Schizosaccharomyces pombe: one gene and its partners. The main gene of each other region encodes a partner of the protein of the gene in region 3 in a complex. Each region holds a gene or a part of one and is shown on either strand. Other genes may lie near its edges. The genes, in order: mrps18, mrp5, mrp4 and snr1.

The links.
Region 1: mrp4 (region 3) and mrps18 share a complex: the UniProt entries of both Schizosaccharomyces pombe proteins name them as parts of the mitochondrial small ribosomal subunit.
Region 2: mrp4 (region 3) and mrp5 share a complex: the UniProt entries of both Schizosaccharomyces pombe proteins name them as parts of the mitochondrial small ribosomal subunit.
Region 4: mrp4 (region 3) and snr1 share a complex: the UniProt entries of both Schizosaccharomyces pombe proteins name them as parts of the mitochondrial small ribosomal subunit.

Annotation. Positions count from the first base shown.
Region 1 is NC_003424.3:4,966,433-4,969,766, forward strand, and holds mrps18 (putative mitochondrial ribosomal protein subunit S18), read right to left. Parts: upstream 1,431-3,334; 5' UTR 1,325-1,430; coding exon 791-1,324; 3' UTR 558-790; downstream 1-557. Other genes in the region: SHREC complex subunit Clr2, read left to right, coding at 1-457; gab1 (Pig-U family GPI transamidase subunit), read left to right, coding at 1,714-2,105, 2,333-3,167. UniProt on the Schizosaccharomyces pombe protein: Component of the mitochondrial ribosome (mitoribosome), a dedicated translation machinery responsible for the synthesis of mitochondrial genome-encoded proteins, including at least some of the essential transmembrane subunits of the mitochondrial respiratory chain.
Region 2 is NC_003424.3:2,283,950-2,287,907, reverse strand, and holds mrp5 (mitochondrial 37S ribosomal protein uS5m), read left to right. Parts: upstream 1-1,894; 5' UTR 1,895-2,114; coding exon 2,115-3,063; intron 3,064-3,190; coding exon 3,191-3,405; 3' UTR 3,406-3,426; downstream 3,427-3,958. Other genes in the region: SPOM_SPAC4G9.19 (DNAJB family protein), read right to left, coding at 1-531; rpl901 (60S ribosomal protein L9), read left to right, coding at 3,699-3,958. UniProt on the Schizosaccharomyces pombe protein: Component of the mitochondrial ribosome (mitoribosome), a dedicated translation machinery responsible for the synthesis of mitochondrial genome-encoded proteins, including at least some of the essential transmembrane subunits of the mitochondrial respiratory chain.
Region 3 is NC_003424.3:3,064,757-3,068,036, forward strand, and holds mrp4 (mitochondrial 37S ribosomal protein uS2m), read right to left. Parts: upstream 1,511-3,280; 5' UTR 1,454-1,510; coding exon 662-1,453; 3' UTR 570-661; downstream 1-569. Other genes in the region: SPOM_SPAC24C9.09 (threonine--tRNA (Thr) ligase), read left to right, coding at 1-435; sgd1 (ribosome small subunit biogenesis protein), read left to right, coding at 1,832-1,901, 1,951-3,280. UniProt on the Schizosaccharomyces pombe protein: Component of the mitochondrial ribosome (mitoribosome), a dedicated translation machinery responsible for the synthesis of mitochondrial genome-encoded proteins, including at least some of the essential transmembrane subunits of the mitochondrial respiratory chain.
Region 4 is NC_003423.3:2,978,991-2,982,995, reverse strand, and holds snr1 (mitochondrial 37S ribosomal protein mS47 ), read right to left. Parts: upstream 1,995-4,005; 5' UTR 1,935-1,994; coding exon 645-1,934; 3' UTR 556-644; downstream 1-555. Other genes in the region: fib1 (fibrillarin, rRNA and histone methyltransferase), read left to right, coding at 1-232; yml6 (mitochondrial 54S ribosomal protein uL4m), read left to right, coding at 2,550-3,335; mmp1 (endopeptidase catalytic subunit), read left to right, coding at 3,527-3,654, 3,698-3,824, 3,872-4,005. UniProt on the Schizosaccharomyces pombe protein: Component of the mitochondrial ribosome (mitoribosome), a dedicated translation machinery responsible for the synthesis of mitochondrial genome-encoded proteins, including at least some of the essential transmembrane subunits of the mitochondrial respiratory chain.

The DNA of each region.
Region 1 (3,334 bases), 1.9 Mb from region 3:
ATCCACATCTTCACTGCCATCTGTACTTCAAAAAACAAGTTTTATGTACATATCTGATATTTATGTAAACGAAGATGACATTGTCTGTTTCCAAGGCTCACTATGGACACAAATTGACAAAAATGCACTCGATTATAATGACAGCGCTGACAATATTGATGAACATAAGGATGACTTAAAAGAATTACCAAGAAGATTACAAATGGTATCAAAACTATCAAACACATATTTTCGTTGCCTGCATGATAAATCTGTCGAGTACGTCTGCCCATTCGCAGATGTTTTGGGAAGATGGTATGAGCCTTGGTTCGTAAAAGGAGATTTAAATTACACTTCAGAAGTGAAAGAACGCACATCCAGTCGATTATCAGCAGTAGGCTCTGAAAATTGGGTCGATGACGATTTTTATGAATATTTACTGTCTGAAATTGATATGGTGTCAGCAGTTGTAATGTAATAAGTATGGCAGATAAAATTAGATATAGAAGTGTCTACTTATTGATCAGTGACGGTCATTATTTATAATGTAAATAATATGGGAATAATAATGTCTTTTGCATTTCATAAATTACAGAGAAAGATAGGTAAAAACTATTTGTGTTGAATTAGAGATGGGATATAGTTTTTTTTAAGAAATCATGTTGCACTATCACACCGGTATTAATAAATCATTTCTAAGTTCAGAAGGTCAAATACAACGGTGGAAAAGCACCAACAATGTTGGGCAGCAGATTAACTGCACAGGAAGATTACGTAAACGAAGAAAACAGAAAAGTAATATAAACATACTTCATATGCGTCGCTCCCTTCTACCTCTCGGTCCTCCAAATTTAATAGGTGTTCGATCCATAACCTTTACAATTTTGTCTCGAATTACGGCACCTTCTTGCCCTAATAAACAATTTTGTACTGCTTCCCTGGCCTGACTAAAACCATGAAATATAACATGCAAATTTTCAATACCAAGGCGCTTTACTTGGATTTGTTCCAGCACCTTGGAGCAAATGGTATAAGCAGCATCGTAGCCACGGCGCTTTCCTTTACGAAAACCACAGGTTCCTCCAGAGGCCCTAAAAATAATTTTTCTTTCAGGAGAACAAAGTGTAATGTGAGTGTTGTTCTTCAAACATTTGGCATGAAGGTAAAATGGCATTGGAATGGTATCCGTACCTTGCATAATCGGATTTGGCTCCTCCGTCCTTTTTGAAAAAGCTTTTGGAGTGATTGTGGATTCTAAAAGAGAAGAGAGTTCCTTTTTGGGCGCATTCCGCCTAGGACTCTGGCTCCAAAATCTTCGTAGTCCAACTTTTGTTAAATTAAGCATTAGATATTTGATGAAAAATAGCTTGCTAAGAACCGATTTGTAAACCAAAAATAAAATCAAAGAACTAAAAAATATGGATGAAAATGTAAAGGAAATGAAAAATGACAAATTGTAAGTAACCGAGTGCTTCAATACCATAATTTCTATACCAGGTAACTTATGTTACTCAACCTGTGGTAGTGGTATGAACGTGTAAATATTAACCTAAAACACTCTTCTCGTTTTAAAGAAAAAATAAAGAAATAAAAAATTAAAAATCTTACTTTGGTGGCTGCCTTAAAAGTTTTTCAAACGGATCATTTGGGATACCCAACGACTGTAATTTAAACGAAGATTGGTGAATTGAAAACACAAATATAACCCATCTTTTGAACAGTGAAGATTTTGCAATGATACCAAATGAGAAGCTAAAACTATTAGGTTTATTATCAATTTCTTTTTTTCTTCAATGGTATTTAGCAAACACTTGGATTGCTGAATTCCTTTACAGGCGAATCGAAGTATCGACGCCTGTATCCGGATTTTTACGTGTTCGTGAAGGACTTTACTTGTATGAAAACGGACTAGACCCCTATTCTGGTGGTGTTTTCTATCAGTCTCCACTTCTACTGATCTTAAATTATTGTTGTGAGTTGCTTGGAGGAATATCTGTCACCAGATTTGTTTATACTAGCATTTCTACTATGGGAGGTCTCTTTGTGTATTTAATTGCAAAACAAGCTCGTGTTTTAGACCCAAATCAAGTACTATCTACTTGTTCACCATTATGGATTTCCGTCATGTAAGTTACGCATATGGCTTGCGACAAAAAAAGTGAGACATTCTTCAAAAAAATGAAAAGCATTGTATCGTTGGTTTACAAAATTGTTAACGATGACTGTTCAAAGATTGAACTGCGTTGATTACACAGATTTCGTAGTCGATATTGAAAATGTGTACTTCTGTGATATATTTGTGTCGCAAACAAGTATCCTTAACTCAAAATTTACTAACAAAATATTACTTTAGTTATCTGCTTAACCCATTAACATTTCTTCCAGGAATTGCTTGCTCCGCAGACATGATACTTAATTTCACCACTCTAATGACCATTTATTTCGCCTCTTGCGGATCCTATGCAATTTATGCATGCTGTATGGCATTGACTGTATTCATTAATCCTAACGCTTTACTGTTATTTTTCCCCTCCTATCTTATTTTAAGAAAATGCAATTCATCCATTAAATTTCGTCAGATATTCGTTGTTTTTCTTTTTTATCTTGCAGGTCTGATAATAACTTCAGGCTTCTTTCTGAACTCGTTATCTTTTTTGAAAATTCCATTTAGGGTATACTTGGACTCTCATGATCTAACTCCGAATTTGGGTCTCTGGTGGTATTTTTTTACAGAAATGTTCAATGAATTTCGCACATTCTTCCTTTTTGTATTTGCCATTTTACCATTGATGTTTGTTCTCCCTGTTTCGATCCGTCTTTATTATCTGCCCTTGCCTATTACTATTGCTCTTATTGGCCTGCATTCTTTATTCAAAGCTTACCCAAGTATTTGTGATCTTTCAATATTTTTATCTCTCCTCCCAATTTTTAATAAAGTCCAAGACCGAATGCGATATAGCTTGCTTACAAATAATGCTATTGTGTTTGCGCTTGTACTGGGATCTGCATTTTACCATTCTTGGATAACTCTTGGATGTGGAAATGCAAATTTTTATTACGCAAGTAACCTCATTCTTGCTCTTGGACTCTCTTTAAAAATCATGGACTTTCTCAAGGCACTGCTTTTGGTTGATTGGTATGCCAATCACCCACAGCATGAAAATATTCCATTAAAACAGGTTCAATAAAGTAATCTGTTAATTAGAAAATGATATTCTTAGGCTTCATCTATCCAATTTCATCATTAGAGCCTCACCTTTCTGACCTTACGAAACGACCTTTTCCAATTTAACGTTTAGAAATTATTTATTCATACATACAAATAGGAAATTTATATTTCATATTTTTTTCCTTT
Region 2 (3,958 bases), 780 kb from region 3:
AACAAGCATGCCTTCATCGTCAAATTTTCTGTTTTTATTAGAAGCATTTTGGTCATTCATATAATCATAGGAATTGTAGTAGTATTCTTCCCAAGACCCCATACCAGCAGAACGACGAGATCTTGAATAGGTAGGATACCTCGCTTGAGACCAATTTTGAGGCGAGGGATGTGTAGGATGAGACGGCTGATTCCAGTGAATTCCAAATCTATCGTATTCCTCACGACGTCTCTTATCAGATAGTAAAGCGTTGGCTGCCAGCAATAAACGAAAGTACTCTTCGTTGTGCTTATTAATTTCTGGCGGAGATTCCGTAGGCGCTAGCTGAGATGCATTCTTCATTTTGTCAGGATGATGCTTCTTAACCAGCTCAATATATTTTCGTTTAATGTCATTAGCCGTACACGTACGAGGTAGTTCCAAAATTTCATAAGGCGTCAATGACTTCAATTCGGAATAGGAAGTAAAACTGGCTGCTCGCCTCCATAAGCTATTTCGCACAAGATTTAACCGAAAAAATATCTTTGACATGTTCAAAACTTGTTCCAACAGAGGCGACGTTAGTTTCTGGATACGATGGAAGCTTTTATGTAGTTAATATTCAACTGAGTAAGATATCAATGTTGCTTCATTGAATGCAAACCGGCTGATCGAGCGCTGCTTTTTTTAAAGTAAAAACCGCAAGATACTCTGGTTCTATATAGTTTTAAAGCTGGATATGTAAAAGGAAGCTGGTTTGGTAAATATTTCAAGAGTTGGTACCATATCCGTCTGCTATCCCTATTTCGTGCCCTTGCTATACTACGTGGGCGAATCGCAGAGTTGTTGAGCTGCACCAACGAATGAGAAGGAAACGCAGGAAAATGTAAAGATTTAGAGTAATGGTATTTAGTAATAACAAACTTATTTTTATTTTAATATTCTTTTAAGAAAATACAAAATTTAATCGCAAACGAATTGAAATATTTTGGAAATTCTTTTTTATTGCCTTTCAAGGACGCCTTTCCTTCGTTAAAGACGCATCATTCTTTTATCGATAGATTTGAAAAAGAAGATCTTTAGTTTCAATCGTACAACACAATTCTTGCTACACGGTGTTTTTTGTTTGTTTGCATTTCGCGTTTCTTTGACCTACAACGTTGAATAGCGTCGCATTGGTGACTTACCTTGGAAATACGTTATTTATTTTCCGTTCGTAATTCTCAAAATTACAGGTTTGCCGTGGATTAAAAGATAATTTGGTCCACGCTTGCTCTTTAACTATCTTGATTGCCCTAATTGTTGTTTCTTTTAAAAAATTTCTAGAATCTTAAGTACTAAAAAAATTTGCCGAAGAGTAATTTTGAGGATAATATGGAAGTGACTATTATTTTGCTTTATTTAAAAGATTCTTTTTTTTCTCTTTTGCCTATCATGTATCCTTTTAATCATATAGTTAGGTTGAAATCAGTGATCTTTTCAATTCATTTCTTCCATGTACAATTTCAGCCGCCGCTTGTTTACAAATATAATGAGCTATTTCAAATTGTTCATTGCATCGCTAACTACGTATATTTGCTTGTAGTTCGTGCACCGTATTCATATTTATGAAGTCGAATGTACTACATTAAATGGGTGCCTTAGAAGCGTTCTTTGTAAACGGAGGATGATGAAAGGAAATCAAGAGAGAGAACTCAGAAAAAAAGGAGTTGTTAACCAGACGATAAATCAGAATTACAAGACGAGCTGATCCTAGAAAGTGATGTGCGGTTTTATGTACTTTGTCCATACCACTACTAAATAGGAACAGTAGCGAATCGTACCGAAGCGCCCTAACTACAACCAATGCCAAAGTGGTAAGTAGTTTCACGGCTGAGACAGTTATAAATTTATTTGTGCGATTCAAAAAGCATTTAAACTCATCGATAGCATTTTTTTTTGACTGAGTATCTCTTAGGGTTTTCCTCCCGTCTTTATAGCGTTAGTGACACCCTTGGTTGCAAAGTGCAATAAATATATAGGTGGTTCGGCTTTTATAAAGCGATTCCAGGAAATATTCTTACTTTCACTGCTAAGGTTCACTAAAAATTCATGATCATAACTTAAAAAATAATTTTTTTATTGATTTAATTACGATGTTACGCTCATTTTCACATTTTCTACAAATTGGCTCGAGGCGGCAGCCAACTTATTTTCGGTGTTTCCATAAAACTACCGTACATCTTAACTCTTTTAAGAATGATCCCAAAAAGGAATTAAATTCCAATTTAAACGAAAAATCCGTAGAGGAATCATCCAAGAATGAAACCAAGGAACAATTTAACTCATCGTCTATACCAAGAGAGAGTGAATCTGAAGGTAAAACTGCGTCAAATACTTCCCCATTATCACCAAAAAAGGTAGAAAATCTCAGCAAGCTTTTTAACGACATTAATGAAGATGTTTCTATCGAAGAGTTAAAGTCTCGTTTCAAAGATCACCTTCCTTTCTATGAAAACTACATTCGTAATCATCCTCTAGCCATTGAAGCACTCCAAAAGTCTACAGCACCACGTCAAACTGGTTTGAAATTGAACTATGTATCAAAATTGGATAAATATGTCACTCCTTTAGATGGATATTCTCATTTAGGATCGGAGGAGTCTAACGGGGAAATTCCTGATAAGTGGGAGGATTTTAAAGATGACCTCACGTTTGAAATTTCTTCAAAGTTTTCCCCATTTGATTTTGGCGATGCTGGTAAGAGCACAAGTGACGCTGAGTTTCTCTCGGATATTAGTGGAATCCCAAAGTCAGATCTCAGAGCCTTAATGTTCGTTCCCCTTGTAAGAAGACGTGTTGTTAATCAAACCCGTAAGGGAAAAATTGCCAGTATGTACGTACTGACTGTTGTCGGTAATCGAAATGGTGTTGCTGGTTTTGGTGAGGGAAAAGCCGAAAGCTATTCATTAGCATACAAACAATCATGTGGACGTGCTGTTAAAAATATGGTTTACATACCTCGCTACGATAAAAGGACTGTATATGGCGTTATTCATAAAAAATTTCATGCTGTCCGGTTAACATTACGATCTCGTCCAGCCGGTATGTTGTTCATTTGTTCTATAAATAATCTTTTAAAAGCTTAGACAGTTCTGTTTTCTGTTTATCGATTAGTTTTATTCGACATGTTTACTTGTCCTGCAATGACAATTTTACTAACTAAATATAGGTTTTGGACTTCGATGCAACCCCATCCTTCATGAGATCTGTAGATGCGCAGGTATAAAGGATATTAGTGGTGAGATACTTGGTTCTAAGAATGGAATGAATACTGTAAAGGCGATGTTTGAGGCTTTACAAAGTCAACGTCTCCCTGAGGATATTGCCATGGAGCGCGGCCAAAAGTTTGTTGATGTACAACGCGAGTATTACAAACAAACATGATAAAGTGACTTTTATTTTTTGTATAGATAAATATTCAATGCAGTCAGTACTCTAATTCTTTACTTCTGGAAACCATTGTGCAGCTTTGTTGTGCAAGATATTCATCTACATCCAATTTGTATCATTATTTCTTTAAACATCGTACATCATTAAAGTCTGAATAAGCTCGTTAATTATAACGTACTACAAAACTCCTATCACTCAACCCTACCCTAGCTAAGAAGTACAGTCACAGGCCTTCGAAACGGAAATTATCTTAGACAAAATTAACGACACCACCAACACTTTGCAGGATGGGACGTGATATATACAAGGACGAGACTTTGACAATCCCCAAGGGTGTTACTGTTGACATTAAGGCACGTAATGTTACAGTTACCGGTCCTCGTGGTACTCTCAAGCAAAACTTGCGCCATGTTGATATTGAAATGAAGAAGCAAGGCAATACTATTAAGTTCATTGTCTGGCACGGATCTCGCAAACATAATGCTTGCATCCGTTCCGTCTATTCTATCATTAACAACATGATTATCGGTGTCACCCAAGGTTTCCG
Region 3 (3,280 bases):
CATCGTGCTATATTTGGATCCTTAGAGCGCTTTATGGGAATCCTTATCGAGCATTTAAATGGACACTGGCCATTTTGGCTAAGTCCTAGACATGCTGTCATTTTACCAGTCAATCAAACAGATCGAATTCTAACTTATGCTAAGCAAGTACAAAAGGAATTGTCTAATCAGGAAGTCAATGAATCTGAATTTCTCCCACTCAATAAAAATACCTATTATGTGGACATAAACGCTGAAGCACAATCTATTGGCAAACGGCTACGTGAATCAAGACTTTTAAATTATAATTATGAAATTGTCATTGGAGAAGACGAAGTTGACAAAGAAATTCTCAGTGTATCTAGTAGACACAATCATAATTCAAGGGATACTAGAAAGATGACTATTCAACAATTGAAAAAAGAGTTTATAGAAAATGTGAAAGCATACCGATGATTTCCTTTCGCACAGCAAAATATGTCTGTCTTTAACAAAAATTTTGGCATCAAATCATTGAAATGTGATATATACGTTATCCATAATAATTTATTCTTTCTTTTTAACCTTTCGTTTACGAATCATTAATTTTATTGAATACTAGTGAAAATTAATCAGACCTTATCTTTAATCATGTTTAGAAAAATCAAAGAATACAGGCATTTTCAAAACAATGAGAGGGGAATCATAAAGGAAGTGTAAATTTATCTTTTTCGAAGGCTTGGTTAGCTTTTTGGTACTCTTGCTCAGCTACCCTACTCAGTAAACCAGCTATTAAATCTGTACACCGTAAAGAATCATCATTTGCTGGAATAGGATAGGTAACCATCCTTGGATCCGCATCAGTATCAATGATTCCAATTGTTGGAACATGAGTTTTCTGTGCCTCTAGACAAGCACTTTTGTTTTCTAATGGGTTTAGTATAACCATCAAATCAGGAAAGACATAACTTGGTTTTTTATCAGTTTGAATCAATTTCCCTCTATTATCTTTACATAAAATTGAACCGCCAAGCTTTCCTTGTACTTCTCTGGCATTGGTGAGAAGTCCTGGTAGCCAACGATCAAATATGTGATAACCTCTAGCACGTTTGGCAGCAGCAACGACAGAATCTTTCTGGCCGTTTCTGGTGCCAATGAACAATATAATTCCATTTTCTTTAGCTATTGATCTAACGACGGATATAGCTCTTCGTAGGTAAACCATGGTTTGATCCAATGATATTATGTGAATACCTTCTCTTTTACCATATATAAAGGGCTGCGTGTAAGGATTCCATATGGATGTAGAGTGTCCTAAATGAGCACCAGAAGACAACAATAAAGGAAGACTAAGTTGACTAGGAGGTGCCGGATTTCGAATGGATAATGTCGGTGAATAATGGGGAGCTACAACTGCACCTATTTTGTGATTCCAGTCACGTATTTTTAAACGACGAGCTACAAGTTGCTCCGGTGATAATTTCCGTGAAAGCATAATACAGACACGAATGACTCGAGCAAAATGAAAGCCCGTTTGGTGTAGTAGTACTTTAAGACTTTGAAATCGCTGCACGATTGCAACATTTCCACTTCGATATGCTTTATTAGTGTGATACTACATAGAGCGTTAATGTAAAATACAGCAGCAGAGTGACAACTTTAAATAGCATTAACAAATTGCGATATTGTATACAGTTCCATTAGCAGTGTTGTGAAATTCATTTGAAACGATACGCCAACTCGAGACTGAGGCCCAATTCTTCTCTTTGTAAAGCAATTATACCAGTTTTTGGTATCGTTTAATTGAAAAATTTGGTAGTTCTTGAGCTTTAGTATTAATTATCGTTTGTTTAATATTTAAACATTCGATAGTATGAGGCCAATTAAAAAAAGCAGAAGCTTAAAACTGCCCAAAAGTATTTTAGAAGAGATAGGAGAATCTGGTAAGCTTTTTTTTATAGATTTGGTCAGTATATTTAACCAAATTGATAGATTCGAGTGCTAGGCGGGGAAAGCGAAATCATAATCTACCTCATCGTGAAAAAAGAAAATTTGCTAGGATCTCTCGAGGAAAAAATGGTTATGAAAACCGGAAGATTACAGAAGAAGGTGATAGTAAGTCTTCTGAACTTAATGATGATTACTTAGATGCTCACAGAAAGTCATCTACAAAAAAAAAATCTTCACAGAATAAACAGGCAAAGGAGAGTAAATTACTCGATCCCATTGCTTTTCAGCATAAGATTGCTTTGGAAGAGGATGATCGTGAAATCGCTCATTTAGAAAAGATGCTTGGCATCAAAAGCAAAGATAAATCTGCTCACTCAAAAATTGACAAGGAATTTGGATGGCTTTTAGAAGACCTAGATCAAGAAATTGATGACATAGGCGTTCCGGGCACTGAAGATCCTTCATATGGTCATTCAGAAGACTCTGAAGTTTCAGACGATACAGGTGACCATGGTAGCGTTGATGAGTTGGAAAGTGAAAGGGAAGGAAATTCGGGTGAGGAGGAGGAAGAGTTTCATGGGTTTGAGTCTAATTCTGATGAATTCCATCAACCTGAAACTAAGCCGATTCGGATGGATCCTTTGAAGCCTGCAGTCCCATCCTTACCTAATGCGAACGTCGGCTCAAAGTATGTCCCTCCATCTTTACGGAAAAAATTAGGGGGAGATAAGGAGTCAGAAGATGCTCTGCGACTTCGTCGGAAATTACAAGGATCGCTAAACAAATTGTCTATCGCAAATATTTCTTCAATTATTAAGGAGATTGAAGTCCTTTACATGGAAAATTCAAGACACTCAGTCACGTCTACCATCACCAATTTGCTACTACAAACCGTAATGGGAAGAGAATCTATGCTAGATCAATTGGCCATAGTATATGCTGCGTTAGCCACTGCTCTTTACCGCATTGTAGGCAATGACTTTGGTGCTCATCTATTGCAAACCCTAGTGGAACGTTTTTTGCAGCTTTATAAATCAAAAGAGAAAGAACCTCTTTCTTCCCATAAGGAGACTTCTAACTTGATTGTATTTTTTGTTGAGTTGTATAATTTTCAACTTGTTTCATGTGTTCTTGTTTATGATTTGATTCGCCTTTTTTTACGCTCTTTAACCGAATTGAACGTTGAAATGCTGCTCAAAATTGTCCTCAATTGTGGAGGGCAGTTGCGATCAGATGACCCGACGTCTCTCCAAGATATTGTTACGGAAATGAATTTGTTATTAGCTTCAGCTGATCCATCAACCATATCTGTCCGTACAAAGTTTATGGTAGAATCGATCACTAATCTTAAAGAAAACAAAAAAACAAAAGT
Region 4 (4,005 bases), on a different chromosome or scaffold from region 3:
TCAGGCTCGTATCGTTGCTTTGAACGCCGCCGCCTTTTTGAAAAACGAAGGTGGAGTTGTTATCTCTGTTAAGGCTTCTTGTATTGATTCTACCGCTGATGCAGCTGTTGTTTTTGCTCGTGAGGTTAAGAAAATGCAAGAGGAAAAGATTAAACCTCAAGAACAACTTACTTTAGAGCCTTACGAACGTGATCACTGTATCATCGTAGGAAAATACTTGAGACATCAGTAAACAGAAATATATGCCATAAGTGCATGCTTTTTTAGTTTATCATATAATTTTTTTTGCTAGAAAAGCTTATGGTAAGGCCGTGAGCAATTGGAATAATAAAAATATATTTTGGGTATGCGTTTGGCAGTTTTGTCAATTATTTTCTCATTGTTTGATCCAATATGGGAATTATGGAATATATATTAATGCCGTTAGCATTCTTTTTTTTGAACTATCGTACGCACAGCTACCGAAAAAGAGTTTTAGTATGAGTATTTAAAATGGCTATCATTATTTTTAGCTGCTAAAAAGAGTTATGTGCTTTATCGCATGCTAAAACATAACAGGGTCTTTGAAATAAATCATCTTATTATAATACTGAAAAAACTTAGTAGACATAAAGAACAATATTTAATTTATGTAACCTTTGGGATTATAAATAAGGATAAGTCTTATAATTCCAAAGGGGAGTTTTACGTCTTCCTTTTGCAGCAAAAGATATCCCATTATTGTATTCTGAAGGCAACTTGAAATAGTTTTCTAAATCTTTAAAGTGATATTCATGGGATTTGCTCCATTTTGGATTTTTGGTCTTTGTAATAAGTTGAGCATTAACACCTTCAACAAAATCAGGCTGTTTAAGCATATAATAGGAAACGATATGATCATAGTAAAATGCTTCAGATATACTCCACTTAGCAGCAGACTTAATAAGTCGATTGGTAACAGCAATTGAAGTCGGAGATTTGCTATACAATGTTTTAACGGTAGATTTTGCAAATTCCGCTAAAGCACTAGTGTTTGAAGCATATTCTTTTAACGCACGAATAATATCAACGGTATCATTTTTGCAGAAGCATTTATTAATGACATCCATAACGTCTGGAGTAAAAGTGGGTGGTGAACTGCTAGCAAATTCGGCAAATTCCAGGATTGTATTATTGATTTTAGAAATATCAGACGTGTTTAACTCTGCAAGCCTGTCCTCCAAATGAGGAAACATATGCTTCGGAACGAAATGAGTTGCAATTCCAGTACGCAGGCAATCATATCCTTTTACGATTTGAGATGTCAATCCCAGATAAGTTCCAAAGTATCCTGGTAGTCTACTGAAGAAGAAACTGGCAGCCACGTCAGTAAAATAGCCAATTCCGGTTTCTGGCATAGCAAACATCGTATCTTCACACGCAATACGGAAAGGAACATGCATAGCCAAACCAGATCCACCTCCCATGGTGATGCCATTCATCAAAGCCACAACTGGTTTCTGGTATGTAGCTAACGTATGGCTTAATCGATACTCTTGAGCAAATGCATGGCGAACTTCAGGTAATTTTCCATCTTGTATTGAAAGTGCTGCAGCTTTAATGTCACCTCCCGAACTAAAAGAGCGACCATTTCCTTTAAGAATAATTACCTTGGCCAGATTTGATTCTTCTAATGAAACTAGCTTTGGTAGGATTGAATCTATCATGTCAACGTTGATAGCGTTCAATACTTTTGGCCTGTTTAAAGTAAATATCCTTGCTCCATTTTTACTCTCGTATAAAACTGTATCATTTGAGGAAGTGCTATAAAATTTTGGATTTCGAATAAACGCTCTAGACATGGTGCTACTTGCATTCAAAGAAAGGAAATTTGACACACTTGTTTTAAGTAAGGATTGCCTTAACATAAATCCAGATTTTTTCAAATCGTTAGAGATATTTAATTTCAATCCCATGAAAGCTAACCAAGTTAAATAACACCGATTATTTTTGCATAGACGGTTAACGTCTCTTCTACGTTACTTTATAACGAAGTGTGTTCTTAATTGTGAACTAATAACAAATCACAAAAGACCATTCGTAAAACAAAGTAGGTTTCCATGCATTAGCTGGGCAAATACTTGTCTCAAAAAATCTATATTTAGTATTAATTTAGTTTCTCAGGGTTTGTCGATTTTAAAAGTCTTAAACCACTTGTTGCATAGCATTGAGTACTCAAAACTGTTATTGTAATACACAGGTGCTATTTGCAACAACAATTTAAGGTGTCAGAATGAGCAAATTCCAAATATTTAATGTACGACATCACATAGTATAAATAATTATTTCTTCTATTTTAGGTAATGAATGAGATATCATTAATTTATCTAACAGTATACAGTCATAAAGTTCCTGTTGCATAAAACAACGTAATTTAATGAACTCGATACTTTACGCTTTACGATACTTTTGAATGCACAATATGTTATAATGAAATGCATTGTGATACTTAGTACATTGTGTTAGACTAATTGAAAGTAAAATACATCCATTCTTCAGGTACTAGTCGTCCATTTCACAAACTAATCAGAATGACAGCAAAAATGTTGCACTTGGTGCGATATAAATTTCCGTCGTTGGAGCCCGCGAGTCTTTTTCTTATTCCCGGAAGTTTCCTGCAAGAAAGATTTCGTCGAGATATTTTGCATCGTGCCGTTATTTATGAAGCAGATAATGACCGTCAAGGCACTGCTAGCTCAAAGCGCCGAAATGAAATTACTTGTTCCGGTCGAAAACTTTATCGACAAAAAGGTACAGGACATGCACGGGTAGGCGATGCCTCAAGTCCTATAAGAAGAGGTGGTGCTAAATCACATGGTCCTAAGCCTAGAGATTTCAGTACAAAATTACAAACCCAAGTTTATAATTTAGCAATGAGGATTGCGCTAAGTACAAGATTTATTAATAATGAACTGACCATCCTTGAAAATCCCATCAACTTAAGTCAACCAAAAACACGGATTTTGCTTGAAGTTTTGAAGCAACACAAGTTAGGACACGAGTACGGGAAGGCACTTTTTGTCCTTAACGATAATTACTTTGAAGATGAGTCCCTTAAAAATAATAATTTATTGCTTGCATCTAGACAGTTAGGCTACCATTGCTCCTTTATTCCTGTTGGTGAGTTTCAGGTTCGAGATGCACTAAAATTCGGTAAACTATTTATTGATTCTGAAGCCATGTCGTTAATTGTAGAGAAGTTTGCTCAACGAAATACACTAAGTGATATGGATCAACCTGCTTCCCTGACTGCTTATGTTGATGCAAATAGTAGTTCTTTTACGAAATCAAAACCTGAACCGTCTTTATCTCTATGATATGAAATAAACGCATATCTTTCAATTGTTTTTGAATTTCATGAATCTACATTTTCCGATTTTGGTAGTTACGGAAACATTATAATCCACAATCATTAATTCTTTTTTCAATCCTTTCTCTTGTCGTGTTTAAATTTTTTAATTTCGGCTTATTTAGTTTACTGTCTTGATTAGTTACCTCTTGGTTAACAATGGCTGGCATGTTCCGTATTCCTATTGCCGTCGTTCAGATTGCTGCATTTGTGCATCAAATTCATGAGTATCTTTTTCAAGTGCAAATGACATCGGGTCCAAGTATGATGCCAACATTAAATTCTGGGTATTGAAATAACGCTTTGTATTTATGGTTCTAACTTAAAAAGTGGTGAATTCGTTTTGTTAGATAAATTGCATGGTAGGTTTGCTCGTTCATGTTCTGTAGGAGATGTTGTTGTTTCGGCAAAACCTTCCGATTCAAAGCAACACGTGTGCAAACGAATCATTGGAATGGTGAGTATTTCACATGGAACGTTATCCTTTTTGTACTAATTTTATAGCCAGGAGATACAATTTATGTCGATCCCACCTCTTCAAATAAAAAAATAACTATACCTTTAGGTCATGTTTGGCTTGCAGGAGATAACATTGCTCACTCACTTGATAGTCGAAATTACGGACCTGTTCCAATGGG